Oreochromis niloticus: one gene and its partners. The protein of the gene in region 3 purifies or fractionates together with the protein of the main gene of each other region. This does not show direct contact. Links are inferred from orthologs where the notes say so. Each region holds a gene or a part of one and is shown on either strand. Other genes may lie near its edges. The genes, in order: eif2b3, eif2b5 and eif2b1.

Region 1 (9,972 bases), on a different chromosome or scaffold from region 3:
CTTGTTGCCAACAGGCAGCATAGCTTTGGGGGTGTTGTATGTCAGATCAGTCATACGAGAACCCCCACCCGCCGCCATCAGCACCGCTTGAAGCTCCATGTCTGCTGTAGATGGCTAAGAGAGGAGGGGACATTGTAACTGAAAACGTATAACATACAGTACAGACCACAGGTGTAGACTTAGTGCTTCAACAAATTAATACAGCACTAGAATACTGTCTATAATATATGTGTATAACACTCTGTACATTAAAGCACAAAGTGTAAATTATGTTCATATTAACAACAATGTGAGTTACTAAATGTAAATGTACACCATGGGTAAATGGGCTATTGTACATCAGTTCAATATAGTTCATGCACAAGAACACAAACAGATCCTTGTTAAAGAAGTAAATGTCTTTTTATTACTTTAATTATTAGTTTTTAAATGCATTTATTCCTACATTTTTGTTCATTTTAAGTAAAATGTGTAAAATGTACACAAATAACATACTGATGATGCTGTGTGCCTCAGCTATATACTCCAGTCAGTCTTCCAAGTGACACTCCCTCTGCTCTAGCCTGTTTACCTTATTCAAAAAGTCTTAGCTCACACCAGCAAAGATTGCAAATTGATATTTTCTGGGCTCCAACAGAAACTAATGGCTTCATCACCCCTTCTGTCTTTTTAAACTGCCCATAGGATGTCATTCATTCAAATGACTTAAACCCTGATATGTTCAATGGATACCTGGTTTTACTGGAGGACTATGATTTAAAGTATGAATACATCCATCCATTTCTCTTCCACTTCCACTGAAGCCTATCCCAGCCGTCACAGGACATAACGCAGGGTAAACCTTGGACAGACGGCCAGTCTAACAGAAGGCTAACACAGAGACGATCAATAATGCTCACATTCACACCTACAGTCAATTTACAAACACCAATTAAGCTAACCCCATGAATATCTTCAGACTGTAGGAGGAACACAGTAAACATGAAAACTCCACACAGAAAGGCCCCAGCTGGCTAGCATACAGGAAGCTAATGACAGAAGGTTAGCAGTTTAGAGGCATTCCACACCTGCTTCAGATGTTTAGTAGTTTGTAAAATTGCAATCTGTGGTCAAGTGAATTGACACAACTGACAAGCTCTCTATGATTCATTTACTCTCAAGCCCAGTGCTCGCAAAATCACTAGCCCGACGTCCCGGGGCTAGCGAATTTTCCAGTCGGGCTACCAAAATCTATCTCAGTCCTGCCCGTCGGGCTATCATAGGAAGGAAAAATATATGTCAATGCTTTTGCATTCTTTCGGAAATGTAGCTGGATAATTACGTCATTGGCATCGGGGAGCCACTGTCAATATGTGACATATTGAAATCGCGTTTGAATTTGCGCTTGTTTTTTGCTTTCACTTTGCGATCCCGCGAACTGTGTATAGAGAGCGGCAGTACTGATTGGTGAGTGACGATTAATTGCGCACCAATTCCTCTGACATCGTCTTATCACTCATTAGCTTACTATTCAAACCTGACAAGTGAAATCTCCCACAGCAAGCTTAAACATGTGAGAGGTTGATTGCGCAGAGAATCGCTGACCGTTATGCGAGTGCGTGTGTAAAAGCAGCAGGATATATATTTTAGCTCTGCTGAGCCAAACAAGACAAGTCAGGGTGAAGAAGGGGCAGCCAAAGAAAAGCCTACCACAAAACGGAAAAGTTATGACAAATCAGACTATGAGGGAAAAAGAAAGTGCAGCTTTACGGTTTCATGGACAAAAGAATTTCTGTGGCTGGAATATGACAAGCTAAATAACCAGGGGTGCACATAAGTGGTCCGCAGGTGCGCATTCGCTGTCAAAAAAAAAATAAAAATAAATATATATGCGCACCAGATAAGAAGTTGCAACGCGCACCTCCAGATTTTCTGGAGGAGGACAGACATTTGTTTAGAACTCCTAAAGATGTCGAAGAAGCAAGCTCCTTTAAGCAATTACTTTGGTGTTCCTCCACCTCCAAAGAAATGTCAGGAGGAGTCCGAACCGCAAAAGAAGCGCGTATTCTCGGAAAAGTGGTTGCAGGAGGTGAGCTGGCTTCAAACAAATGATGAACACACAGAGATGTGGTGCAGAATATGCCGTGAAAATCCCACTCTAGCGGACAAAAACAGTGCCTTTTATATGTACGCAAACGCGCGTTGCAACTTCTTATCTGGTGCGCGTCTTTTATTTTGACAACAAATGCGCACCTGCGGACCACTTATGTGCACCCCTGTAAATAACAATGTTCTGCCGGGTGTGTTGTTGGTTTTCCCTCGATTTCTGAGTCGACAAGCGCCTTTGTTACTGGGACCAGTAATTTTAAGAAAGACCCCCATTAGAACCCATGAGAAATGCAAGAAATGCAATATTGCTCAGTCTGCAATATCTTTCCCAGAACAAACACCAATTGCAAAGAACATACTAAAAATAAACCTGAAAAATCTGTTTAGAACAGCGTACTATGTTGCAAAGAGTGAACTACCATTGGCAAAATTTAGCAGTCTTTGCAAACTTCCAAAAAAAAATGTCCTAGATCTTGGTTTCACTTATCTCTTACCCGTGACTTCAGTGGAAATTCCAAATTCAGGACCTGTCACAGACTGATTCATGTTCTACACAGTTCTTACAAGTGCATAGAAATTTCTGTTCAATTAGAACCAAGTATTTGAGTTGATGATTGTAATTTTTATACAATGTTTAATTTGTGTTTCAACAATGTTTTGATTAATGTTTTGTTTCCGTTACAATATTATACTTTAATGTATAATATTGTAACGGAAACAAAACAGGAAACAAACCATCAATCAAAAAAAAATTGCTCTCTTTTTTAATCGGGCTACTTAAATTTATTTTGGGCTACCACAAACTGAAGAGTCCCTGCCCGAAGGGCTACCAGGGATTTTGAAATTTTGCGAGCCCTGAAGCCTGTGTGACTGAACAGTGATGCTAGACGGACTTCATTTTACAAAGTTAGGACATTAATGTTAAGGATCAGTGCACTCCTACTCAAAAGACTGAAACTGTGAATTCCCTAAAATACTAGTATCATCATCATGATCATCAAGAACTGTATTTTTCTGTCTTTCATGGTATTGGCTTGATGTACTGTGTCACTAATGAGGTCTCGGTGCTGATGGATGAGCACAGGAGTCAGGCTTCTAACATTTCTGAATGTCATGATCATGCTGGCAACTAGGGCAGTGCCACATTAAAACAACCACAAAAATACCAGTGTAACTTTTACACAATATAAAAATGTCTTATCGCAAGGTTCTTGCCTTAGCAACACCATGCATTTACATTCCCTAGTGCACACGACAATGAGACAAGACTAGGCATCTCTGAGAGTGAGAGCCATTGACGGTTTATTATAAACGAAAACCATACTTTGCAAAATATCCTAGTTCCCACTAAAAGCGAAAACAACAAACATATTTCAGCACTTGGAGCAAATACACATTGCCACAGATTGTACAGATTGTACAACCAGACTATAAAGTAGAAGATACAGTGCAAATGTAAACAAACGGCTCCACCGAGGACCACTAGCTGTTCTCTAAATGCCAGGGAGAACAAACAGTGGATGGAAATTACATATGTGGTTACATGGTGGAATAAGCAGGACATTAAGCAGCTGGTTAAAAGGCTGGTGACCCAACATACAACATCCCAGAATGTAATGCTATGTAATCACTACTTCACTATCGTGCTGGTACCCGAATAGATTCACACTTCAATAAGTCACACTTCAATCAGCATTATTGTTGAGTCTTTACCTTAAAATATAAAGCACCTTGAGGCAACTGTTGCTGTGATTTGGCACTATATAAATAAAATTGAACTGAATTTAAATTAGTGTTTCATCAATGGAAAAAAAGGATGGAAATACACTTTATTTACAGTGATGCTTATGCCTGCAAGCTGCAAGCATCAATAAAACCTTGTTCAGAATTCTTTTCTATATAATCAGTAATACTGTTATTGCAAGTTTCATTAAAATACTGTGATATAATTTTGAAGTTATACCGCCCAGCCCTACTGCTTCATTCACCTTCATTCCAAGAGCATGCACAGCTTAATACCTGTTGATTGGACTCCCAATGTCTTTTTTTCCCCAAGCATTCAGTGGTATCCACCTTCAACGCCATGATACCAGTGCATCACCAACAAGTTTGCACAACTGTGCTTCATTGTATGTAAACAAGGATGCCTGTGCTTTATTGTAACGTATGGCACCTATGGTTGCCATTATGCACCACAATGAGCGAGAATGTGCTGAAAATAAGGAAAAAGAGGAGGAATCTGCATATTGTGTTTATCATGATGAAATATGACATCTAAAATCGCGCAGTTATTTGACTCCTACAGTCATAGCTTTCTTAGTCTCAGTACAGCATGTGCTTCACACAGCGCCTGCTCTAAATAACAGAGTGTACGAGTGTACGGAATGTTATATTTGCCGGGTTAGGTGTGCTGCACACACACTCGCAACAGACGGCTCAATCCAGGTCCGCTTTCACATATCTTTTATATCTACCATGTCATCGCTGTAGTAACCACTAGCGCCAAACTGGCATGTGTGCTCAGGACATACCCTGTTGACCGAGTGCACACCCATCCTTTAAAAATCAGTTTGAATTAAGAATTAATTCAAAGCCGAAGCAGTGAGATATAAAACTTTACCTACCTGTCAGAATCCCTCCGAGCTGTTCGGCTGCCTCGAAATGACAGCGGTGCAAGACGCATGTAACTTACTTGCCGTCAGTGTTGTTAGCACTCGGCTAAGGACTAGCAGCGAGCAGTAAACGATGCCGCTTTTTCAGAGATAGATTACAACCAACCGGACACGTTTCTGAAAACCGACATGTAACTTAAATACAAGTAAATAACAGATATTTGATTTCTCGCTAAATAATTTAACAGTAATTACGCAAAAGACGCTAAGCAACTAGCATTTTAATGATGACACCTGCGTGCCTTTAGTGAAATGCGTCCGTGCGGGAAACTACTTCCTCTGTAATATGGTTCCGATCAGAGAATAGGAGAAAAACTAGACCATGATTTGTCATAGACTGAAGTTTTTTACAGACAAGAGGAAAAGGAGGAATGGGTATGGTTGAGAAGAACAGATCTGTTTAAGAAGAAAAAAAAAACTTCACTCTGCTAGGGTATAATATCATCATGCTGGCAAGCTAAACTATGATTTATACTAAATTAATTTTCCGAGTGATGATGATGATAATTGTTTTACATTATTAAAGAGATAAAGAAGATTCTTTTTTTTAAAGCTGTGGTACCAGGAATTACAAATGTTCACACATAGTAAAAATGTGAGCAGATTAGCGGCCAGAAGCCAAACAGCTACTCCTTTAGACTTAAAGCTTAGAAAAATCCCAATTCACAGAGCTGAGACGTAACAGCAAATTGAGCTCGGGGAATGTGGCTCTGGTTTTGTTTGCTCTGGCCAGGAGATGAGCTTGACTGCTCGTTACTGCCTGCTCAAAGCCAGGCAAGCACGAGAAGGGAGGGAAGAAGGAGAGAAAAAGAAAACAACAAAGAGACGAAGAGGCCTGACTGCCTGTTGTTGCCCAAACACCATAATGCCGAAACTATTGAATGCAATTTCTCCACCGTGAATGGTGATTGCTGAAAAAGTGGGTGTCCAGCTGCATTTGCTGTCTGTGATTTTTCATTGTCTTGGCTGAGTATTGCTAAACATCAGTTGAGGTCTAAGTCAGATAAGCAGCGCAGAAGAGCCATGTAGACAAATAACAAAAGAACAAACTCTAAAATCAAACAATCCCATATGCTATTTATCTTATAAAAGCATACTTTAACTGACATATGATCATTTCTGTTTATCATCTTCTGAAGCCTGCAAGGTGTTGTCAGTATGCAGGTGGCATCTTTGTCAGTTCATACAAAGGAATCTAGGAAAACAATAATAAAAAGGCCACAGTAAAAGTCAAATAAAGACCACAAAGATTACTTAACTTAGCTGGTTAACCACAGGGAGCTGAAGTGTGTGAGACATTAGAGAACTTGGCTAGTTACAAGAAAAGCTCAAACAGCAAGATAGCAAACATGTCTAAAAGGATATCAAAGTTGTTTTTTGTTTGTTTGTTTGTTCTTGTAATAATAATAATAAACGGGGTTAGTACAGAAGTTTTTTGTGTGATGTCATCTGCACAATACTTGAGTTTTCCTCTATAGTGGATGTGATATCCTTGTGATGGTGTTGTTCTTGAGTCATAATAATGTTGTGTTGTAAAAACTTTGGAATGTGGTGGGAAAACAAAAAAGTGTTTGTTTACATAAACTCTCTTCTGGAATAAATGGTAAGTGTTTTAGTTTTTAATAGCAATAGATAACTTCTTGGCTAATGCTAACTGATTGCTCAGACAATGTGATTGGCCAGTTGATGAGATGTGCATGTGTTTTATGCTAAGTTACGTATTACTTAAAAATTTAATTAAGTACAAAGATCTTACATGGCTCAGCTTCTCTCCTCCTCCCCTCAGACATCAATGTTTCTTGCTTATCCTTTCCATACTTCTACATTCATATTCATTTTTCTTTATATTATTGCTTTTCAAGGTTATTAAAGATCTCAATAACTGTCATTTTAATCTCTCTATTTTTAATGCAGCTTTGACCGACTATAGAAAAAAAGGAAGCTTTTCAGCAAACTCTGGTTTGCTTGCAGAAAGGTTTCTAATAGGCTTTGTCATCATATACTGCCCTAAGGATATCCTTCCATACACATAGAGAAAATGCTATTGAACAATCTCTCTCTTCATTTAGCATGTTCATTGTAAGGAGGAGCCCTACAGAGACACACTGTAGGGCTTCTTTGATATATGTGGGGAAAACGGGGGAGAAGAAAACAGAATTGAAAAATGAGGCAAAGAGGAATCACATGTAAATTAAAAAATTCCCCGAGCGTATGTATTTTACATATTTTCAAAATACGCTTTATTTGTCAGAAATGAAGACATCCGACTGAGCGGTTAGAGGAAGACAAAATGAAAAAAGGTCCAAAACAGAATGCCACAACTCCGAGACAGAACCAGATGGGGATATGCATGCAAACAGACATGGAGACAGTCGTGCAGGTCTAATCGTTGAGTGACTTGAAATGGAGCCCTAAGATTTCCTCTGATTTCCTCTCCCTCCTTGGCTCTGTTGCAGCATCTTGTAAATCATTCTCAGTTCACTGAAACAAGCCAGTTGGATTAGCTTGGTTTAGATCATAAACATTTGTAGCACAGACCACCCAGCGAGAGAACAGAGCCAAGGCGAGAGTCTGTGTGAGTGTACATGCATGGGTGTGTTTGTGTGTGTGTTTGAAGCCTCCCTCTGAGTTTAGAGGTGGGTACTGCAGAACATACAAAGTCACACATGCGCACACACACAAACGCACACACACACACGCACACACGCACACACATACTTATACTGTGGTTTGTGTTTGCTCCACTTCCAGGGCCAGTGCTCTGTGGGGCCCTTACCACTGCTATGGAAACTAAAACCGGCACGTTCGCCCAGTCAGTGTCAGAGATGAACGCACATGCTCGCAGTTCAAAGATTAAGATGTCTCACTGTGGCAGCGATGCAGAAACTGTTTTACATTCCTTCGGTGATGTGATTAGTTTTTTTCTACTAATTTACTGCGAATGCACTTTCGTTTATTGCATGCTAAAAACCTCCCTCTTGTTATGAAATACTTCACAAGATCCATTGTCACTGTTTTATTGGACTGAAACCCAGAATGCAAATTTGTTCATCATCAGCCTCAAAACCAGCTGTGAAATGTTATATGTCAAACAACTGTGATATAAAGTGTGTTTTTTGGGGACTCGCAAATAAATGTCATTTTTTTTCACCTGACATTCAACAGTCTGCGTCACTAGACCTTGAAATTCATTCCTTTTCACTTGAACACAGTTGGAGTAATTCTCTTCTTGTTTCTCTCTGCTTTCAGGAGGGATCTGAGAGCCAAGCTGGTGTCAGAACCAGGAAATATCTGGGTTGGGTTTTGAGAAGCCAGAGTGGGAAAAGCTGGACAACTCCCTGCTGCAGGGCGCTGGCACTTTTCTCTGTAAGATGCTGTTTGAGGGTCTCTATAACCCATCTGACTGTGCATGTTATCCATTTGCATCCCTCCCTGTTGAGCTACAATACTGGCAATTGTTGTCTATCGCTCTGCCACATTTTCCATTACGAGACTCCGTATTTACTCAATTATAAGACAATTCCTTTTTTCTGAAAATTAAATGTAAAATAGTTGTGGTCTTCATGAGTCTGAGGGTAAATGCTGGATCTTCGGTAACAGAGTATAGCAGCTGTTGAAAGTGAAATGATTATATTTTTAAAAAGCGTGCTGCAAACGCAAAGGCTGTCATTGTCAAGTTTGTAAAGGCCTTTCTCAATCGTCTCTGTGCGATAAAGGCTGTACAGGAAGGCTGTTTTGAAGATCTACTAAGGTGGTAACAAAGGAAGATTAATATAGACTTATACAGGAAAAGTGCTAATGGAAGAGGGAGGATTTTGCAAGAAGAAAGGAGAGAGTTTGCCCATATCATTTGAACTGCAGCTCGCTGTCTGCGTCTGTGTGTCTTTGCTTGGCCACATTCTGTCTGATGGACTTTCTGGGAGGTCTGTTAACCACACAGGGCAAACACGAACAGACACACATGCACACACACCTTTATATATACACTCTATAGCAATAAAAACAAAAGTATATGGAACATTTTGTACCTTTTGTTTAGAGATCATTCATTTCAAATCAATCTAATTGATACCTTTATATTGGGGATGAACACCAGATCATTACATTACACTGCTGAACTGTGTTATATATTATTTAAATGCAAAAACTTGAATTTTTATAGACTACAGTATTATAACCTAAGTTAACAAATCCTAAAGTTTTCAAATCCTAACTCTGTAACTAACTCTGTAACTATCTAACCCCTAAAAAGCAAAAGCATAAATGTACGAAATTAATAAATCGCTCTCCTTTTGGAACATTTTGTGGGTAAGCGATGACTCAGCTATGGATTTAACTCTTTTTATGTATAAACCTGTCCCATTTTATGGACAACACACCCAAAATGTTTGGTCATGTTTGATCTCTCTCGATCTGGTGGCCTTCCTGTTCAGCAGAAAAAAAAGCGGACATGCACACACACACACACACACACACACACACGTGCGCGCACACACATGTACGCATCACGCACTTGTAAAAATCTTCTTTTCAACTGAAATAAATGTTTATAGCATTCCAAACATTTTGTGTGTGAGACAGTATGTGTGGTCCTGTCTGCACCTAGCGTGTGGTTTGAGGTTAAGGTGTTTGTCTGCTGGTGTGTGAGCACGCCAGTGATGTGTGTGTGTGTGTGTGTGTGTGTGTGTGTGTGTGTGTGTGAGAGAGAGAGAGGATCAGAGAGATGTAGAAATGGAGAGCAAGAAACACTAGTGTTTGTGTTTGAAAATGGGAGCAAGGCAGAGAGAATTAAGGAAAAAAACACTGTCTGGGGTATTTTATTGTATCCATTAAATTACTGAATTCACTAAATTTACTAATTCACTAAATTGCTAATAAATTTAGCCTTTAAAAAGCTACAATATAAGAGAGATACACTTAGTACTGGCCAAGACTTAAACAATGTGAATGCTTGTAAAGCCTAGTATTGTAGCAATGTCATATACAGGGATCAAGTTGCAAATTGACAAAACCAGTCATACACAAGAGCAATAAAGAAATGCTTTAATGTGATTAGTTGAAGTTGCCCACAGTTTTGCATTCATAAGTCTCAAATATTTTTCTTTGTCTAAGAAAAAGCAAATCAAAATGAACTTTAACAGGTTAAATGTTTAGCCTATAGGTTTAATGAGCATTTACCTTTTTTGTTAAATATGTCTCATGTCCTAAAAAT
Region 2 (9,972 bases), on a different chromosome or scaffold from region 3:
CTCCACCATTTTGAGATCTGATGCTGTCTGCATGCAGTGTCCCATCTCCCACACGTGTGTTCATTAAAATCATCGTTTGACTCAACCCGGCCGGACCAGTATTGTTATTTTGGTTTTCCTCTTGTATCCATCTCCAATACTTTGAACTCATAACACACACTTGTTTGTTAAAACCCTTTATTCCAAGCAGACCACAGGTCCTTTATTTGGATACTGACATTCACACCAGCCTTTACACGGCGTGGCATAATGTGATTAAAATATGTCCACTTCAGCTGTACAGAGCACGTCCGGATGGTAACTAGATGCAGAAGGGTAAGAGTTGACCTTGTCATAACTTAAACTGCTCCTCATTACTCTCCATCCTCCTCTGAAGACTCCTCAGCCTCTTCCAACCACTGGATGAACTTCTGCAGCTGTTGGAGAGAAACGGATAAATGGTTGTTAGAAACCATGAAACTGCTGCAGAGGCAGTGAATATAAAGCTATATTCACTGCAGAGGCAGTGAATATAAAGCTATACTCGTGCTCAGGTGTGAGTAAATGAGGAGTTTATAGGCTGTTTCTTAAACACAGATACAGCACCCCTTTGTTCTGTTCACTATCAAGATGATCCCACACTGCTTCAATAATGTTAGATGTGGGCTCTGGGGAGGCCAGTCCATGATAATGATAGTGTTTCACTGCATGTTTTTGTCTCCAGGTGTGGATACAGCATAGTCACAGGTGTGTTTTTACTGCTTGGGTAGCGTATTTGGGATCATTATCATGCTGAAAGATGAAGTTGTTGCCTATCAGATGCTACTGTATTAGGAATCAAAATCTGAGAGTACCAATTTTGACAAGATCTCCAACACCACTGGGAGCAATGCATCTCCAAACCATGAATGAGCCTCCACAGTGTAATACAGATGACTGCAGACACTGACTGTTGTACCTCTCTCTTGACCTGCATACATACTATCAACAATGTGAACCAGAAAGTTTCAAATTTGCTTTCATCAGTCTGTAAGATCTGTCACCAATAATTTTCAGAGCACTTCTTGTGTAATTTGCAAACCTCAGACTTGTCTCCCTGTTTCACTTCCTTAAGAGTGGCTTCTTGACAGCCACTCTTCTACTGACACAGGTTCTTATGAGGCTTCATGAACAGTAGATGGATCGACTAAAGGAGGTTGGTGTTAAGTGGCTTAACAGACAAAACAGATTCCTCTGAAAAAGATCAGGTACAAGGACTGGACTAAAAGTGAGTGAAAAAGCAGCCAATGTCCGAAGAAAGACTGAAAGATTTTCAGAAAGCCTGGACAATTAAAATATTACAGGAATGTCTGGCTCTCTTGGAAACAAAATATAAAAAAATTGGGGGTAGCTCAACTGTACATTTGCACAGTACTGTAATTCCTTTCTTTATATATACATAAATTTACACTAAACTTGTTCATAACGTGAATACTGAGCTTAAACTCTGTTGCTGCTCTGTGCTGTCTCCTGTAGACTGTAGTTCACACTGTACTTACCCCTTGGTTTTTGCGGAGCTGTCTGCTTTTGTCACCGGTGGCTCCCTGAGAGAACCAGCGCAGTATCATTTCCTCCTCCAAGATTTCCAGCTCGTACATATTCATGAGAACCTGAGTTACAAACAAATCAGCATATTCATCCTCATCCTAACAGGCTGGATAAAGACACAGCAAACAATTCAAACAATTAATTTTAACAATGCAGTTTTGCACGTATCAGTGCTAATTGCTCCTGACCTTGACCATAGCAGCCCAGTGGCTCTCCTGCTCCAGGAAGTGTTCCTCAAAGGCAGACAGGCAGTCTAGATGGTCCTGTGCTCTCTTCACATAATTCTTAAACACCGGCGCCCATTTCTTCAAAAGCTGACAGCCGCACAAAGAAAAAAGAAGAAAAAAAGAAGGAAAATAATTAAGAGTTTTTCGTTTTTTTTCTGAGCTTCTGTTTTGTCATATTAAAAGTAATAGACCTATATCTTATTCACCGGCAGAAGCAGAGCAACGTATTGTGAAGGGGTGAGATGTGAGCCCTGCTGCTGGAAAGGGTACTCCAGTACCACTCGGGTTAAAATCTGCATCACCTCTTTCAGACTGATATTGTAGGCATACCTGGAAAAGGAGGGGTTGGAGGGGGAGTGGGAAATGTCAAACTAAGCAACAATCACTGCAAAGAGGAGCAACACAGGTGTGAGTCAATTCCCCCTTACTTTAGAGAGTTGATCTCAAGTACGAGGTTGTCACAGCTGATGTTCTCCTCCAAACCTCTCTGCAGGGTCCCGAGCACCTCCATGTGGAAGACTACATAAGGGAAAAAAAATGTATTAGTATTATTATTGGTTTTGCAGTTTGTGTTGTCATTTCGGGCCAGTAGGGGGCAGTATTATAGTTTCACATGCAGGCTAGCTAAATGAGGCATGATCTGATATCGTCGTGTTGGTGTTGTTCCCAGAACATCATACTAAATGTTGTTCCAGGATCAACATTGCAAGTGACCAATCAGAATGCTGTGACGTCATAGTTTTGGGACTTCGGGAAAAACCGCTGTAAAACAAAAAACTGTACTTAGGCTGCGAGAAACCGCCTCTGTCCACCGATCAACGGACCCTGACCCTAATCCTAACCCTAACCCTTTAATAAACGGCAAGCAGAATTGATATTGTCCTTGCAACATTTGAATTTCATAAATGCACGAATGGCTTGGCGCGCAAAAGAATAACGTCACAACATTCTGATTGGTCACTTGCAATGTTGATCCTGGAACAACACTTTCATGATGATCTGGGAACAACACCAACACGACGATATCAGATCATCCCTAAATGAGACATGCCCTCTCACCTTTGACATCGTCCATCTCAGGGGAAGGAATCACCGGGTCATCAGGCCCATCAGTCTCACTATCTTCACTATCACTCTCAGGGTCTGGGTTCAACACCAAGCCTGGGAACACACGAAAAGAAGCATGCTGGGACTTCAGCTGAAGCATCATGGGAAATGCCAGTTCCATGACGATGAACTGCTGCTCTACCCCAGAGACACTGCGACAGCTCCTCTTCCTCTGTGTCATCCAGACTGCTGGCCTTCCAGATGTAGCCTTTTCCTTCTGCTCCAACTTCTGCAGGATTGAAAACTGGAAGACAGGAGAACATTCACATCAAGCAGCTTGATAACATATAAACTGATCTAATACAGACTTAATAAGATAAGATAAGATAAGATAAGATAACCTTTATTAGTCCCACACGTGGGAAATTTGTTTTGTCAATAATACACACCTTTCTGTTTGGTTTTGTCCGATCTATGGCCAACCTCAGCGTCATCACTGAGGAATTCATCGTCATCCTCCTCCTCCTCCTCCTCTGGATGGTGCATAGACACCACGGTGCCTTCTGGTAGAGAGATGTTTGGTCCAATTACCACCTGTAAAACAGTTCATAGAAACATTCAAATATGCAGATACTGCAAATATGACTTCATATCTGATGACGTTTTACAAGACGATCACTGAACGCACGTCCCTGATTTCATGCATTGAACTAAGCACGTGTACCAATAGCTATATATTTGTAGTACTACTGTGGGTAATTACTTCTCTTTTGCAGCAGGAAGGTGCAAAGGAGCAACAGCCAGCAGACTGTGAGCCAAATCTGAAACCCTGTTTCCAGTTGGATTAAGACTAGTAAAATCATTCTCTTTTAGTGTAAATCAAAGCTACTTTTGGACATAAAAAAGAGCACAGAAGACTAAATATGAAGGAAACAGGCAACCAACTGGTTGGCTGAACTTTGCACAGACACTAAAACCAAAATTCTTCTATCAGTATTGCTCAATATCTGACATAGTGTGGCATTGCAGTGGATATATGTCAGATTATTTTTTGCCCATTTGCCCAGATTTGTGGCATCTCTACTAGACTCCAGAGTGTCACAGCTACTACACAAAATCCAGTTAAGAACCAGATATTTGCTGTGGTTATATTTCTGTAATAACAAGCCATTTTAGATCCTTTAAAAGTTTTTGTCAAATCTGCAGATGTTTTCTCTAAAAAAAGAGCAAAAAAATGTCAAGAAAAATGGAAAATTTGCCAGTCTTGATGGCAAAATGCAATATCCTTAAAATCTATGCAAAATTGCTATAACGCCTTTAAAATGCAACATCAATTTGACACCAGAGAGAGTTTGCTTTGCAATTGGATATAAAAGATGATGTGGAGCTTACATCGTATGCTAGAACACACTGTTTCTTAAGAGTCACGCCCTCTTTGACCTCCGCCTTGTCGCAGATGACAGACTGGATGATCTCCACATTACTGGCAATGTGAACATGATTCCAGATGTAGGCATGATCCAGGACTACATTGTCACCTATTGCAGTGAACCAATAAAAGAAAAATGTTAACTACACTTCTATAACTTAAAAATTGAAGCACTTTGAGTGGTGCTGCCAGAGAGTTCACCTATGATGCAGTTGTCACCGATGACACTGTTCGAGATGTAACAGTTGGCACCGATGCTGGTATCGCAGCTGATAAGAACGTTCTCCTCCATCTGGCTGCCATGGCCCAGGCTGACACCAGATGCCCTGTAGACATTGTGGCGAGAGTATGTGCAGCTATGTCCCTCCTGGTCTGTGAAGTTGGCCTCGGGGGTCAGGGGATAGACCCACCGCCGCACGAGGTCAGACGACACTGAGTCATACATTAGAAGGTTCGACACTCGGACACCGTAACCGTCCTTTGTGACATGCACGTGGATCTGGTTGCCCAGAATCTAAACAAAGAAAATGAACAAGGGTCAGAAATGCTCTAAATATTTTTTTGTGCCATTATTCAAATTTCAACATAATAATGCTTCCATAGTACCTCTTCATTGACCAAAAGCCCTCTAACAAAGTCATCTCTAGTTTGGTAGTCAAAATTGTCAGTGAAAAGCTCAGCAACCTAAAAGAAAGGACACCAAAAACAAAAATGTTACTGCAGCCAACAATGACAGTTAAATATTTCCCCTGTGTGGCCCAAAACCGACCTGCGGGGAGCAGATACTGATGTGGCTGTCCAGGAGGTCATGTCTGATTTCAAATTCATCGCTTCCACTGTGGAAAATATTCTGCAAGTAAGACAAAAACTCAAAAAGTCAATCAAACCCCAAAATGCATCAAAGATATAACAGACTGCCAAAGATACAACTGTTTACCATTGGAAACTGTAGCTTCTTGAGCCCTTGTGTCTTCTGATAGTGTAAAATCTGCTGGCTCTTGCTGTCCACGGCCACAATTACATCGTCCTCCTCACAACGAGACCTGTGACCCGGCGACGATTCTTTAAAGATCATGGTCATCACTGAGATGTTCTTGTCCATCTTTCGGCGATGCCTAAAGTGCGCAAAAACTCAGCCTTGTGGAAACACTTAGATCAACACCATTTCTCATGTAGAAAAAGGCTGGCCGGTGGACTTTTACCTGTGCTCCTGCAGAGCCTGGCTGATATCAATATTGGATACCACATCTCCGTAAACCAATACAAAGTCTGAGCGCACCAGGGACTTTGCATCAACATCCCGTAGCACATCCCCAAGGGAGCGGTACAGGTCCGAAGTAATGATGTGGACAGTGTTTGGAGAACTGGGTCGACACCACTTTGATTTCCTGTCAGACACAATATTCATAAGTTTTCATACAGTAAGCCTCAGAAAACAAAAGCTCACACACACAGCAGCAGCAGGGAAACTCACTGCAAGTGCGCCTTGATTTTACTGGCCATCCAGCAGCAGAAGACAAATGTTTCCTGCACTCCAGTAGAAGTGAGGAATTCCAAGGTGTAGTCGATCATGGCAACGTTACCCAGCGGCAGCAGCGCCTGTCATCAATGAAAATGTGACAGTTAACTGGAGCTAAACAATCACGAGACTCGCGTGATTCTCTCATTTTATCAACTACTGTACAGACAGCAACAAGCACGAGTTCAAGTGTCGTTTGATTAAATGCTTTCATCATCCGTGTGAGTGATGCACTGTCACTGTTTACAGCATGGACACAAGCTAGCCTCCATTAGCATTCCGGTTAGCTTAGCTCACTGCCTACCCGCGGCTGGTCTTTGGTCACTGGGAAAAACCTCCGGTTGAAGCTGTCAGCGACTAAAACCGCCTGCAGCGGCTGGTCCTCTTCCTCCTGGTCTCCTGCACCTTTTCTGCCTGAAAGGCCAGACGCCGACCGACTTTGTTTCCCCCCCTTACTAGCCATGTTTGACTCCCAGGTAGTAGGTACTAAACGCTTTCGTCAGACACAGCTACGGCAGCTGCAGCGGGACAATTTTATTAACAGTATTATTGCGCTGGCACGCAAAGTGGCAGACAATCCCCGCGAGAGCGTTTGCGTGAAGAAAATTACAGTTTAAATTTTGTTGGCCACATACACTGCGCCTAGTTTTATCTCATGTTGTCGCACAGGTAAAACCACTGCGTAACAACGCATGTATGATAACAGTGCCAAATCGCAAAGTTGAAACAACACCACTTCCACATATATATATATGTTAGATTTAATGAGCGATCCATCTATGCGTTGTTGGGGGGGGTTTCCTATTCAGTGTACTCACTACATTAACATTACAATTTACAGTTTACAGCGAAAAGCCACAAAGTGTGTGTGTGAAGTATATGTGAAATAAATATAGCACCGCCATCACCGCACCAGGGACATCAGCGCATTTCCTTAATGATTTCAATCAGGCCTGTCCACGGTGCTCACCGCTTCTCGCCCTAAGGTAGCAGAGTTCCGTTGATGGAACCAGATGTACAGCCTACCAGTTCCAGATGCACTAATACACCCTCATAGACCTGATCGGAGAATCAGGTTTTTGAACTGAGTACTGTTTTCTTTTCCAAAAAGAACTTCGAGATTTCGATTAGTCTGACCACAAAACAGTTTTTTACTATGTCTCACTCAATTTCAAAGGAGCTGTGGCCCCAAGAAGACAGCATTTTAACCTATGTTTGTGGATGGTACAGTGAGCTGTGTTCACAGTGATTTCCATGACAGAATCATGCCTGTTTTTATTGCAGTGCCACCGGCTCAGAGCGCAGTCACACAATTCAAGACAGTTTCTTGATCATATTATGAGTTGTAGATGCTGAGATATTCAAAGCCATTGGGATGAAAATTATAATGAAACCGTTTCACAATTTAAAATTGTTTTTTTACATAGTGGTGAACCTCTGCCCACCTTTACTTGAGAAGCTTTGCCTCTCTAAGATGCTCTTTTTATTTCCAGTCCTGTTAATGACCTGTTCCCAGCTAACTTAATTAGTTCCAAAATGTTCCTCTACCCGTTTCTTTTCAGTGCCACCTACTTTTCCAGTCTTTTGTTGTCCTCATGCTTGTGTCATCAAATTTAAAACAACCTTATTTTTGTCTTAAAATGGTACATCCTCTCAGTTTAAACATTTCATGTTCTCTGTGTTCTGTGAATAAAATGTGGGTTTATGCAGTTTGCAAATCAGTGCATTCTGTGTTCAATTACATTTCACACAGCGTCCTGTTTTATTAACTAATTTGGTGTGGTTATAGATTTTGAAAGAGATTACAAAATATTCATCTGGTGTAAATGAAAATCACTCTTGAGCTGCTGAAAGTTTAAAATGACATAAAAGAAAAATGTGACCTCCATGTGGAACATGGAATCTCAGTATACTCATACAATCAGCTCCTGTTAATGTTTTATTAATGTTATGATACTGGCACTGGAAGGCCAAGTGCAGCAGTTTATTACAGCTTCAAAGAAAATTTTCATTCACTACTAAAAGGAAAGACAGATGTGTGAGTTATAAAAGCACACTGTAAAATAAATAAAGGCAGGTATTATTTTTCTTTTTATTGATAGCCTTTACATCTCTGATGTGCTTCCTGCAGTTTATGGGCTCTTGATACAACCTGTGGCTACATAAATGCAGTACTGGATATTGGAAAAATATCATTTGCAATAACTGTGGTGCATGGAGTCTTTTTCTCTAAACTCCTATATTTTGTGTTGGACCACAAATCACACTGTCAGTATGAATAATGCTTAAATGACATATACAGAGCCCAGAAATAGTAGTTACAATAGTAATTCATTTTTATAATAATGATGATCTTTACCATATCTTGTCACAGAACATGTGAACCAACCTGTTTTACTTTAACAGAAACAAAAACATCTGGCTCCTGCCGTCCAAACGTTTAAACAGGAACCATCATTCGCTGTTCTGTCAAAGCTCGACAGTTTGTCACACTGTTCTCTCTAAGCCTTCTTAAAAGGCATTACGCCGACAGGTGTTTGGTTATCTTCTTGGCATGCTCCAACACCAAGTCGTATTGCAGGGTCTTGGACTTCCAGGACTCCGGGATTCCCTCAAGTCCGACCTAGAAGAATGAGAACAGAACATTTAATAAATCAAACTTAAAACATGTGCACGTGAATATATTAGATTAACAGGCAGCCCCACCTGAGCCCCAAGACAGGCTCCTATGAAGGATCCTCTGCTGCAGGTGCATCCCCCGCAGCTCATGGTGTCTTTGACAGCCGTCTCATAGCGAGTGGCTGTCAGGACTCCGTGCAGCGCGGCTTGGAACGCACCCGGCAAACCTGAAACATCAGAGGCAGATGTGAATGGCATGAAGGCATTTTTCCTGGTTTGTCTCACAGCTATCCAAATTACACATAGTGCTCTTATACCACATGTTACTGTTAAGGACTACACTGATGTCAGAGGTTGAGGGAGCTTATCAAAGATACCTCATGCATTTGTGAAGACAGAGGGGATCAGCTTTTGCGGAGTTTTGGATAAATTCTCCTTCACCTGGTGGATGTGTCCTGAAATCAGGCAGAGAGGGTGCAGTAGTGAGTCAAACATAAGATGAGATGTTAACAGAAATACTAAACATAACTCTCTGCATATCTCTTTATCCTATCATCGTTATGTCACATTGGAACTGAACCTTCAGAGAATAAGGTAAAATAAACTCTTTGATCACATGAGTCGGTCTCATGACTTTAACACAGGGAAGGAAATATGCTGCTGGCCTCACGTACCGATGACTGCTTTGTCTAAATCTTGAGGCTGCTTTCTGTTTGGGTCATTAAGCTGATTGAGCACCGCGTCCAAGGCTTTTGGATCTGGACCATTCAGGATGAAATGTTCCAGAAACCTGGGAAAAGAAGTCAGTGTGGAACATTTCCGTTTTATGTTTTTCTTTATACATCTTTGTAGAACAGTATTAAATATGCGTTCTGATTTTGCCTCACTACAGAGAAAGATGTAATCAACCATGCAGCCAAACTGGAACGATCTTTAGAGACAATCAGCTTTCATGTGGCTGATCAGTTTATTAAAATGTGAAACGTGTTCTCTTCCCTATTTTTATACTCTCTGCTCCAAATACTTCTTATTATGCCCAATTTTAATTACCAGATCTAATAGTCTATTGTGGTTTCCAGGTTAAAAACAAAGTTGTTATTAATAACCCTTAATTAGCCAATTCTCACATCCAATATGTGTAAACAAGTGAAACTGGTGTGCCTGGAAGATGTCCTGACCTCGCTGCTGCTAGAGTCTCCGCCACACATTCATCATTGTTCTGGGTGACACGGATGGCCTGTTCCACCTTCTCCAGCATGTCAGGCTGTCCTGCATAAAAAGCCACTATAGGAGCCAGTTTGGCTATTCCATCAATCTGACAGTCGTTCTCACAGCCTGAAGGAAAGCAGCACAGGTTTAGGTTAGAGATATTTCTCTTCATAATGTCAAGCTGTGAATAAGTTCAGAAACTTTACCCGTCTCCTCTTTGCCTGCATCCACATTCTTCAGGAAGCTCTTTAAACTTGCATGTCTCCACGGCCCATCGATGGGCAGCTGAGGTCTTGGCCCTGCACAAGTCCAAATTGCATATTTTGTCAAAAAGGTAACGGACCTCAGGGATATCT
Region 3 (9,972 bases):
GTGCTTATAAGCCATTAAAGCCAAGTGAGCCCACTAAAAATCATTACTGACATTAATTATCAAGTTTAATTTAATTCATTAACATTTTAAAATATGTATTTTGTTATGTGTATCGGTGTTTACATTTTTAGTTCATATACTGTGGTACAGGTTAAAGGTTTGGGAGCTATTTAGCTATATTTGAGGCTGTGAAACGTATCAAGATTAACTGGAAGTTGAATTATAGAACAATATCGAAAGTATGTGTTGACACTTCACCCTGTGTAAGCAGTATACTTAATTTCATAAATGACCCGTAATATTGCAGTGTAGTTCTATTAAGGTACATAATTATTGTAAATGTTAATTAATGTGTAAATGTTATTATATTATAACTGCTGGTATGAAGACATATTTCATAATAAACTTTGTTTTATGCTCTTGTACCTCTTCATGCCCACTATGCCCAGAGGACACTAGAATAAGAAACACTTATATTTCCTTTCAGTTACATTACAGAATGGAATAAGCAACTTACTTATTAGATGTCTGTGCTTTACTGTTCATGAACATGGATGGATCTGATACCAATACAAAGTTCAAATGGTTTCTCACCAGTTGTTTTGTCTCTGACTCTCATATGGTCTGGTTGTCTCCCGTTATAGGTAAGTGAATCTCTTTAGGATTTATATGTTTTAATAGAAATTTCTATCTCTCTGTTGTTGATTTATGGTCATTTCATTCACTTTGTGGAGATTCTGCATTACTATGTTACTATTTTACAATCTTTGCTGTTATTTTCTTTCCTTTTGAGGTTACAATATGAGCTATTTGCATCATTTTGAATCTTGCCACTACGGTCACTTTGCCATTTGTTGTGGTTTATAAAAACAAACAAACAAAAACAGAAAACAAAGAAACAAATAAACGAATGAAAGAAAAAAGAAGAAAAGAAAAAATCACATTTCCAACTTCACGTGAACGGCACGGCGTCTGGGAGACGTTTTTGTCCTACGTCATTACTCTGCGACACGTCAACCTGCCTTTTGCAGGATGAGCTAATGGTGTGTAAGTTGGAAATAGTGACAGGAGCAACTTTTAGACAGTGTTCAGTAGGTTTTTGCTTACATTCAGAGTGGGGCTGACTTAAAACAATATTTCGAGCGCTGTGAATATTTTCGTTTGAAAGAAGGAGATAGTGAGCGGAGTCAGCCGCTCTGGCATGTGTCAGAAAGAGTGCACTGACTGAAACCTGTAGAAATCTTCTGTGGTTTGCTTTTAGGCGCTGTTGTTGCTTTCAGGATGAACAACGAAGGTAAATTGCTTGATTTTAAAAATAAATTTCTGCTTTTTTGTGTTAGAAATATTAACTGCATATCTCTGTGCCTTGGGACAGAGCTGGTGGAGTATTTCAGGGATCAGATGAGGAAAGACCCGGACATGGCCTCTGCTGTTGCTGCCATCCGCACTTTGCTTGAATTCCTCAAGAGAGATAAAGGTTAGTGTTATGCCCTTGGTGTTAATACAGACACGTCTCGGCTTTTTCTTATTCTCGCTTGGATGTGGAGAAGAAGACCTGAAATTTAGCCTTTTTGTGTTTTCTCAATTTGTAAATAGTTTTTTTTGTAGTTTCTCTGGGATAATTATGTGGGCCAAGATCTGAAAACAGCATCTAGAGTGTTTCAAATATCTGAAACAGTGCTTTAAAAAGTTACTGAAGCTACTGAAGCCCAGATGTCAAGTCCAGTTTTAAATCTTATAAACAGCAAATGTACTGTTTATAAGATTTGGGGAAACCTGCAGTCAGCTGAGACTGAAGAAGTCACTTGGATGAGTGACGAAACGTTTCTCCCACAAAACGCTACGTCCAGATGAACAGATTCAACTTTTGGAGATCCAGTTTTAAAAAGAATTATTATTTTTTTCTACCATAAATAAAATAAAGATTTCACAGATTTGAAAGAGCACTGTAAGGAACTACTAGGAACTACAAAGCTGTCTCTTCCCCTTCAGGCGAAACAATCCTGGGGCTGAGGGAGAGCCTTACGTCAGCCACAGACTGCCTGACAGGAGTGGACTCCTCTGTGGCCGTTTCCTCGGGAGGGGAGCTCTTCTTGCGCTTCATAAGCCTCACATCTCTGGAGCACCAGGTGAGTGAAGACAGTTTGGCGTTGGAGATTTAAACATTGAACAAAATTAAGCGTGAATAACTTGAGTGAAATCATCAGAGTGCTACCAGATCTGTTGTATGTTATCGAGTCAGACCTTATGGATGCTGTGCAAGTGCTACTGTTCTCGAAAGAACTTTATTAAAAGAGACACTGCAGTTCTACAGCAAAGTTATGGTTCATATAGGAGAACAAATATCATCAAAGTAAAGAAAAAACTGTTAGGTGGAGGTGTCACAATTGGAAAATAGTTGTGATTATTTTTCGTACTCTTCTGCAGCTGATGGCTGGTTGAAGCCTGGAACTTACAGACATCACCAAAGAATGTATTTCGTCCTTCATGACGTTTGCCAGGCCATTACTGCATCTGTCTTTAGTTACTGTTTGTTTATGGTTCTGTATTTTGTTTTGTCTTCAGTGAGTGAAACACAGTTTGATCAGGTTAAGACAACGTGATTGACCCAACAGCTTCAGGATATTCCATTTCCTGACCATCAAAAACTCCAGCGCTACTTTTAGAGTGTATTTTGGATCATTGTGGGACTTTGCTGGATATGACTGGTTTTTTTTGCTGTAAGCAGACATGATAGCTCTGCACACCTCAGTATGCATTCAGCTCTGTCTGTTTTTCACATCACTTATAAAAATTAGTGACCTTGGAACACTGGAAGCCAAGCACACCCCTCCCATTTGCTGCTTCCACCATGTTTTATTGAGGCTGTTATTTGTCTCAGATTATAAGACATTCCAAAGCTTCTGTGCTTTGTTCTCTCCTTTCTACTGCAGGTTGTTCTTAGTTTCATTTGACCAAACTTTCAGCAGTTTGCAACTTTCTTGCGATCTTTGTGATGTGCTTGTTTTTTGCTGACTAGGGATGGCCTGTGTAAGTTGCTTTGAGATCTTCTCTGACTCTATATTCCGAATTCAAAGAAATGGCTTCCAAATGTTACACACATTGTCCAAATGTCACATTGTCAATTTTGGAACATCATTCTCCTTCCCAAAAAGAAATTTAAATCAAATTAGTTCTAGCACACATTGTAGATGCAAAAGTGCAAGATTTTAGAAGAAAGCACATTAGGAGGAACTTAGAAATAGCAGTTTTGCTGGAACTGCTATGGAGATTGGCTAGATTTAAAGAGGCTGCACCGTATGTTTGCATGATCAGACCTGTTATCTTAATCCAAGGCAGATGCTAACATTTATTTTTTTCAGGACCTGTCTCGCTGTAAGAAGGTGATGGAGGAGAGAGGAGAACTATTTTTAGAGAAGATCTCCATGTCAAGGACCAAGGTCGCCAAGCTCTGTCACACCTTTATTAAAGATGGCGCTGTAAGTACGGAACACAACCTAATTCTTGCTCTTTACAGGGAAAAGGTTCAGTGATGCATTTTTTTTTTCCTTCTCCCTGGCCTCTCCTTGTCTCTCTCAGAAAATCCTGACTCACTCCTACTCCAGAGTTGTCCTCAGGGTGCTGGAAAAAGCTGCAGCTGAGAAGAAACGATTCTCTGTCTATGTGACTGAATCGCAGCCTGACGCAGCTGGGTGAGGGAGCAGTCTATATACTGTATTCTAGTCTTACTCTGAAACGACACAGGCTTATTTATGTTCTTTTTTTTATTCAGGCAACACATGGCAGAAGCCCTGAGGAAACTCAATGTTCCAGTAACGGTCGTGCTGGATGCAGCTGTGGGGTGGATACAGATGTTAATAATATCTGATTTTAATGTCATGTCTCTTGTCAATGTCATTTGCATTAGTTTTGTATTTTTTGTCATTCTTTACAGATACGTCTTGGAAAAAGTGGATCTAGTCATCGTTGGTGCTGAGGGAGTTGTGGAGAGTGGTGGGATCATCAATAAGGTGTGTTCCAGTAAAAACTCAGATGCTCTTCAATTGAATCTAATTCAAATCAGTGTCAAAATGCTGGCTATTGCTTCTTCTTTGGGCCTCTCTTGGCCACCTGTTTTTGTTTAATTATTTTTTTTGTTAGTGCCATCAACTCCAAACCATACATCAAAGCATTTTGTAGTCTAGGCTAACCATAAATGACGCTTTATGATAAAACAAGTGTGTTGAAGGTGATCTGTAGTTACATTTGTAACATGATGCATGTCAAGTTACAGCACAGGGTTCTCTGTGTTGTATTCTGATCATTTTATAAATTATGGTCTCCATCAATGTCCTGAAAAATCAGGGCATGCTTTACTGTGTGACTGCTCACTTTTCATATATAGTTTGTTTTAAGACACCAACATGGAGACAATGAAAATGTTTAGTTTGGGGCTTCATAACAGGACTTCGCTAACCAATGATGCCTCAGCGATATCATGGCAGCTACATCTTTAATATACAGCAGGGGTCTTAATCTTAAAAGAGCTGTGGGCCACTGCTGGGACTGTCATCTCATTTGAGGGCCACTTTAGAGTTTTAGTACTACAAAAAAAACCCAAACAAGCAAGAAAACACCCACAAATATTTCTGAAAATGTAGAGTTGTGTTTTGGTTTTGTTTTTTTTTGTCAAATATTGTATAACAAGACAAAAAAAAAGTTCTCACTCTTAACTGAAGCCTTTCACTGAACTACCAAATTGACTCTTTCTGACCACGTGTCAGCACTGCTATAATTTTGTTCGTATTTAACAAAATAAAAATACAGACATAATTGTACACATTAGTTTTTGACTGCTAGTGAAAATTGTTTTCTTTACAAATAACTCTCCCACTGAACTAACAAAGCCATTCTCTCAACATGTTCTTCCTGCTCATATTGCCTCCATATTAAATAATTTTTTGCTTTTTAAACATTGCACTCAACAACAAATAAATCCTCTCTAACAAAAAAAGTAACTTCAAGGGCCAAATTCTATTTTATTTGTTCACCTCAATATACGAGTTTGAGATCCCTGATATACAGTCTGTTTAAAACTGTAACTTTATGGGACATTTTAAAATTGTGACTCGGGTTGCACTCTGTTCACCCTAAAAGTGATAAATGTGACACTGCTTGTGATACAATAATAGACTTTGGTGTTTTGCTCTTGCAGATCGGCACTTATCAGATGGCTTTGTGCTCCAAAGCACACAACAAACCCTTCTACGTCGTGGCAGAGAGTTTCAAATTCGTACGTCTGTACCCGCTCAACCAACAGGACGTGCCAGAAAAATTTAAGGTATGACTGTACAGATTTTCTTTTTCTCTCCCCCCCCCTTATTTTATATTCAGAAGTTTTCCTTACATATCTTTTTTGGGGCTCAACAGTACAAAGCAGACACCCTGAAGACCGCAAAGAACCTGTCAGAAGAACATCCAATTATTGATTACACACCTCCCTCCCTCATCACCCTCCTCTTCACTGACCTGGGAGTCCTTACCCCATCTGCAGTCAGCGATGAACTCATCAAACTTTATTTATAACTGCTTCACAATTCTCCAATAAAAACTACAAACAAAAACGAAATGTGTCAGAGATTTAATTCAACTCTGGTGGATACATCTGAACAGCTGTTATATTGTCCATTGTCTTCTTCCAAACTGTTACGGTTCTTCTGTTTTGTCTTTCGACTTTGCTCCACTTGTTATCTGTTGCTCAAAGTCCTCCTCACTGATTTGGCCTTTCTTTAGTTTCTTGAGGAGACGAGTGTCATCTAAAAGCTCTTTCAGGTCTTCATCATCCACATCTGAATCCTGCAGAAACACAAGAGTTAAAAGTGTAGTCATCAGATGTTTTTAATTCATCTAACCATTAATGATGAGTGAACGGAAATACCTCGTTATGCTTTCTCTTGGCTGCCATCTTTTGCCTGCGTTCCTTCTTGCCCTTCTGTTTAGACCAGGCCTTATTTTTTACAAAGTTCTTTTTAGGGAAGGGAGTCTTGTCTTTAAGCTCGGCCAGTGCTTTCTGTCTCTGTTTCTCCCTGTTCTTGTCTTTGTAACGGATGGTGTCTGTGTCCACTGTCGTCTCAATGAAATCAGGAAACGTTTTGTCCTTCAGTTCAGGCATCCTGGGCAGGCGAAGAAGTGCAAAGCCACGAGCCAAGCAGCCAAAATCCAGATCTATACATTGGAAATGTGACACAAATTTACATTTGTCTGTTTGTGGGTACAACAAATATGTATTTGAATAATATTTAGGATGCTCTACATGTGTGCTTGCTGATTGATTGATTTATTGTTTTAACCTTTGGTCCTGAAGATGAGGCTACATTCATGTTTGGCGTAGGCCTGGACGTACGAGACAAATGCTTTCTTCCCTCTTTCGAACATGGCCCGGTCCTCCAGAGCCATGGCCTTCACTTTTGGCAGTACATCCACCACGTCTTTTATTGGGGACATCTTCTGGAGTGGACACTGGAGAGTAGATGAACAAGATGAGATTTGTATATTGCAGGTTCTATATTGTGCACCTTATAGTTTTCCGAAGAATTTAGCTGTGAATGGGAAAAAATATTTCCAAGAATTTCCTTTGCAATTTGATGGAACTTATTACCTGAAATGAAAAAGTAAGAGTGACTACAGTTAAATTTGAAAAATGAAAATATAACAAAAAATGACAAATTGTATATTAAAAGTCAGAACATCTCAAAGTCATATCTATGTTCCACAGTGGCCCTGAGATGTCAAACACACTCCTCAAAAACACAGAAAACACAATAGAAGTTGAATAACACACAATGGAAGCAGAAAAAATAAATCACAAAACATAATGGAAGTGTTTTTGGGGGGACAATAATGTGACGGACCAGCTGTCAGAAACCAAAACATGCAAAAATGTGTACTTTTAGATGTAAATATTATCAACAGCAAATTTATTTCTGTTTTCCCCTTTTGGTTGCAAGCAATTTTTAAATAATTCTAAGCTTTCATATAAAGATATAATCCTAGTACACTTAAACCCTGTACTTGTGTTGGATTTTTAAAGGTGTGGGACATTACTTGCCTACAGATCATTTAACACTACTGAGAATGCAGGTGAAAGGAGGCTTACATTTTCTTAAATGTTGGGGGAAGACCATTTAAAAAAACACATTGCTTCATACAACTGAACAAATTACAAATATGCAATGAAGGAGCTGTGACACTGAGGTTGTTTACTTACATAGTCCTCGCGATCATGTGATCACCTAACCTGACTGCTGATGTTCTGAGTAAGTGAACCATACAATTAAAAGAGGTCCCAAGTATGCTGAACTTGCTTCATAGTACAGACTCTCGGTTAGGAGCAACCAGAGCAGAGAGCCGGTGTGAAAAGTTACTGATCACTTTCAGTTTCTGCTGAACTCACCTTCTGATTGATGGACAGGAAGTTAACATAGGTTTCCTCCATTGGAAGCAGGAAGACAAGTGCATCGCCATAATTACCAATTCTTGCTGTTCGCCCACATCGATGTACAAAGGCACTGAGTCAGACCAAATGAATAAATAAATGAAATAAATAAAATGCAAAAACAAGAGGTGCATACAGTGAGCAAAAGATCCAGTTATGTAGTCAGTACTGACTCACCTGGCACTGCTGGGAGGATCATACTGCAGCACCCAGTTAACATCAGGGATATCGATGCCTCTGGCCATCACGTCTGTGCACACCAAGATCCCACTGCATGACACCCAAGCAAAAAAATGATGTACAAACCCCCTCCCAAAACAGCTATAATACTGTACCTGTACAGACAAACTGAATTTTACCTTTTTAGTTTCCGAAAGTCAGCAAAGATACTGTTGCGTTTATGTTTCATCTTGCCGTGGATGCAGTGGATGGTGACCTTCTTGACCAACATCTCTAGAACTCGACCATAATACTCCACACAAGCACAGGTACTGACGACGAGATGACAACGAATTATGTCATAACAGACCTAATCGGACATGTCACGGAGAAAAACATTTTCCAATAAAAGAAACTGTTGTCATGACAATGAGTTTGCAGTCTAGTGGTTCGCACAACACACAAGCAAAGTTGAAAGCTACCAAGTTTTTTTGTGCACCACTTTAACTTACCTAAAGAAGACCAGAAGCTTCTCATGCTTGTGCTGCCTCAGGAAAGCCACCAGGTTGTTGAACTTGTCCTCTGCTCTACAAATCTGAAATATAAGCATGAGATTTTTTGTTTCATTGCTACACTTTTCTACTTTAATGAATAAATAAATAAATAAATAAATAAATAAAGGCACTGCACTGCTGATTCTCTCACAGTGTAGTAGTTGGAAAGCCTGGAAGGGGTTTTCTGGGCGGTGGCAGCAGCGGCCAGGCCTTTCTCTTTGACGGTGATCCGTACGGGGTTCCGGAGGCCGGCCCTCACCAGCTTCTCCAGCTCCTGGGTCTGAGTGGCTGAAAACAAGCCTGTACGTCTCTGCTTAGGCAGGTAACCTAAGATGGTGTTTAGACTGGATACACAAATACAGACTGTTACCTATAACGAGTTAAAACGCACTACAAAATTCAAACACACAAAGTATTTGGATAGTTCTTATTGGCATGCTCTGTGCTTTAACATTGGACTTCACCAGCAGTGAAGCACAAAAAAACTGCAGTTCCTCTAACAGTCACTAGACCTTTTTTCAAAACTGAGTCAATCCCCATAGCCCAAATGCATTTGTGTTGCTTTCTGAAGAGGTGCTATAGGCCTCAGCATAATTTCTTCTGGCATTGAAAACAATAAATGTTAAAGAGTTTTTCCATACCTAGCCTCAAATCCCATGTCAAGCAGTCTGTCGGCCTCATCTAGAACCAGCACATCCAGGCTCTTAACTGAGCTGGCCAAGTCCAGACCATCAGACTTTCTCCTGAACATATCTTCGAGGCGTCCCGGTGTCGCAATCACAATGTTTGCTCTGAGACACAGATGCACAAATTCAAGAGGTCTGGATGTTTTTAACGTGATTCTGTGATGGATAGCACAGGAGGTTTTGATATAATACTCCTGGGTCCATTGATATGAAGAACCATTCAGAAAAACTAATTTCATTAACACAGCCCAATTTTTACTTCTTAACAGAACAAGGTTGTGGATCATTGTGCTTATAATGGATATATTTCAGTCCAGCTGAAAAACTGTGCCAGTTGTGTGTTGGTGGAAAGGCCCTCAGATCATCACATACCCTTTATCCTTGAACTTCTCCACATCCTCTGCTGGGTTACTGCCACCGATAAGTAAAATCTGCCTGAAAAACAACAAGTCGGAAAACATGAAAGACTTCTCCGATCATTAATGAAGTAGAGGTTTATACAACCGGTTACTATTTCAGTCACAGTTCAGTTAAAATAATAATTATGCTTTTCAAGGGGTTTTACTTGTATTTTGTAGGTGACACAGGCTCAAAATAATAACATGATCAGTGATGCACTGCTATTTGTTTAAGGAGCAGAGTGGCAACTTTACCTCATTCGACTATTACACATCATATATCCTGTCTGCACACCTTCATCAGTTTTATATTGCTTTCAGTAACTGTGACAGTACCACAGTAACTGTGTCACATATGTAAATGGGCACATCGCCATGGTCTTTTCCTGTCTGCTATAGAATCAGAATCAGAATCAGAAAGACTTTATTTATCCCCAAGGGGCAATTAAGATATAATGGCAGGTATTTATTAAAGCCACTATTATATACTGGGATATTTCGACATTAATCTAAAACACTTTCGTTCTTAGATTATGATGATGATATTTGACAACCTCTGACACCTCAGTATATATCAATAATGAATTAACGACCATTAGAATAGTTTCCAGTTTTATCCAAGGATAGCTGTAAAGGCAGAGGCCACCCTCACTAACTTCTGACTTTTCTAACCACACTCTTAAAGACAGACTTTTTCACCA

Evidence for each region.
Region 1: the proteins of eif2b1 (region 3) and eif2b3 purify together in Homo sapiens (affinity purification with mass spectrometry; 7 studies listed by BioGRID and IntAct, counting the BioPlex papers as one, with this or other methods). This does not show direct contact. The link is inferred for Oreochromis niloticus from reciprocal best matches to the Homo sapiens genes EIF2B1 and EIF2B3.
Region 2: the proteins of eif2b1 (region 3) and eif2b5 purify together in Homo sapiens (affinity purification with mass spectrometry; 7 studies listed by BioGRID and IntAct, counting the BioPlex papers as one, with this or other methods). This does not show direct contact. The link is inferred for Oreochromis niloticus from reciprocal best matches to the Homo sapiens genes EIF2B1 and EIF2B5.

Annotation. Positions count from the first base shown.
Region 1 is NC_031982.2:15,475,451-15,485,422, forward strand, and holds the start of eif2b3 (translation initiation factor eIF2B subunit gamma), read right to left. Parts: upstream 5,021-9,972; 5' UTR 4,713-5,020; intron 115-4,712; 5' UTR 100-114; coding exon 1-99. UniProt on the Homo sapiens protein: Acts as a component of the translation initiation factor 2B (eIF2B) complex, which catalyzes the exchange of GDP for GTP on the eukaryotic initiation factor 2 (eIF2) complex gamma subunit.
Region 2 is NC_031982.2:7,151,623-7,161,594, reverse strand, and holds eif2b5 (translation initiation factor eIF2B subunit epsilon), read right to left. Parts: upstream 6,475-9,972; 5' UTR 6,252-6,474; coding exon 6,093-6,251; intron 5,869-6,092; coding exon 5,744-5,868; intron 5,658-5,743; coding exon 5,472-5,657; intron 5,385-5,471; coding exon 5,207-5,384; intron 5,120-5,206; coding exon 5,039-5,119; intron 4,954-5,038; coding exon 4,876-4,953; intron 4,784-4,875; coding exon 4,471-4,783; intron 4,379-4,470; coding exon 4,233-4,378; intron 3,435-4,232; coding exon 3,290-3,434; intron 3,145-3,289; coding exon 3,043-3,144; intron 2,955-3,042; coding exon 2,853-2,954; intron 2,313-2,852; coding exon 2,222-2,312; intron 2,124-2,221; coding exon 2,000-2,123; intron 1,881-1,999; coding exon 1,755-1,880; intron 1,629-1,754; coding exon 1,518-1,628; intron 417-1,517; coding exon 354-416; 3' UTR 161-353; downstream 1-160. UniProt on the Homo sapiens protein: Acts as a component of the translation initiation factor 2B (eIF2B) complex, which catalyzes the exchange of GDP for GTP on eukaryotic initiation factor 2 (eIF2) gamma subunit.
Region 3 is NC_031972.2:11,326,106-11,336,077, reverse strand, and holds eif2b1 (translation initiation factor eIF2B subunit alpha), read left to right. Parts: upstream 1-982; 5' UTR 983-1,281; coding exon 1,282-1,294; intron 1,295-1,375; coding exon 1,376-1,477; intron 1,478-1,992; coding exon 1,993-2,129; intron 2,130-3,362; coding exon 3,363-3,479; intron 3,480-3,579; coding exon 3,580-3,692; intron 3,693-3,772; coding exon 3,773-3,841; intron 3,842-3,934; coding exon 3,935-4,010; intron 4,011-5,194; coding exon 5,195-5,320; intron 5,321-5,409; coding exon 5,410-5,565; 3' UTR 5,566-5,608; downstream 5,609-9,972. Other genes in the region: ATP-dependent RNA helicase DDX55, read right to left, coding at 5,686-5,835, 5,918-6,204, 6,330-6,498, 7,433-7,547, 7,652-7,744, 7,834-7,965, 8,146-8,228, 8,339-8,531 and 2 more.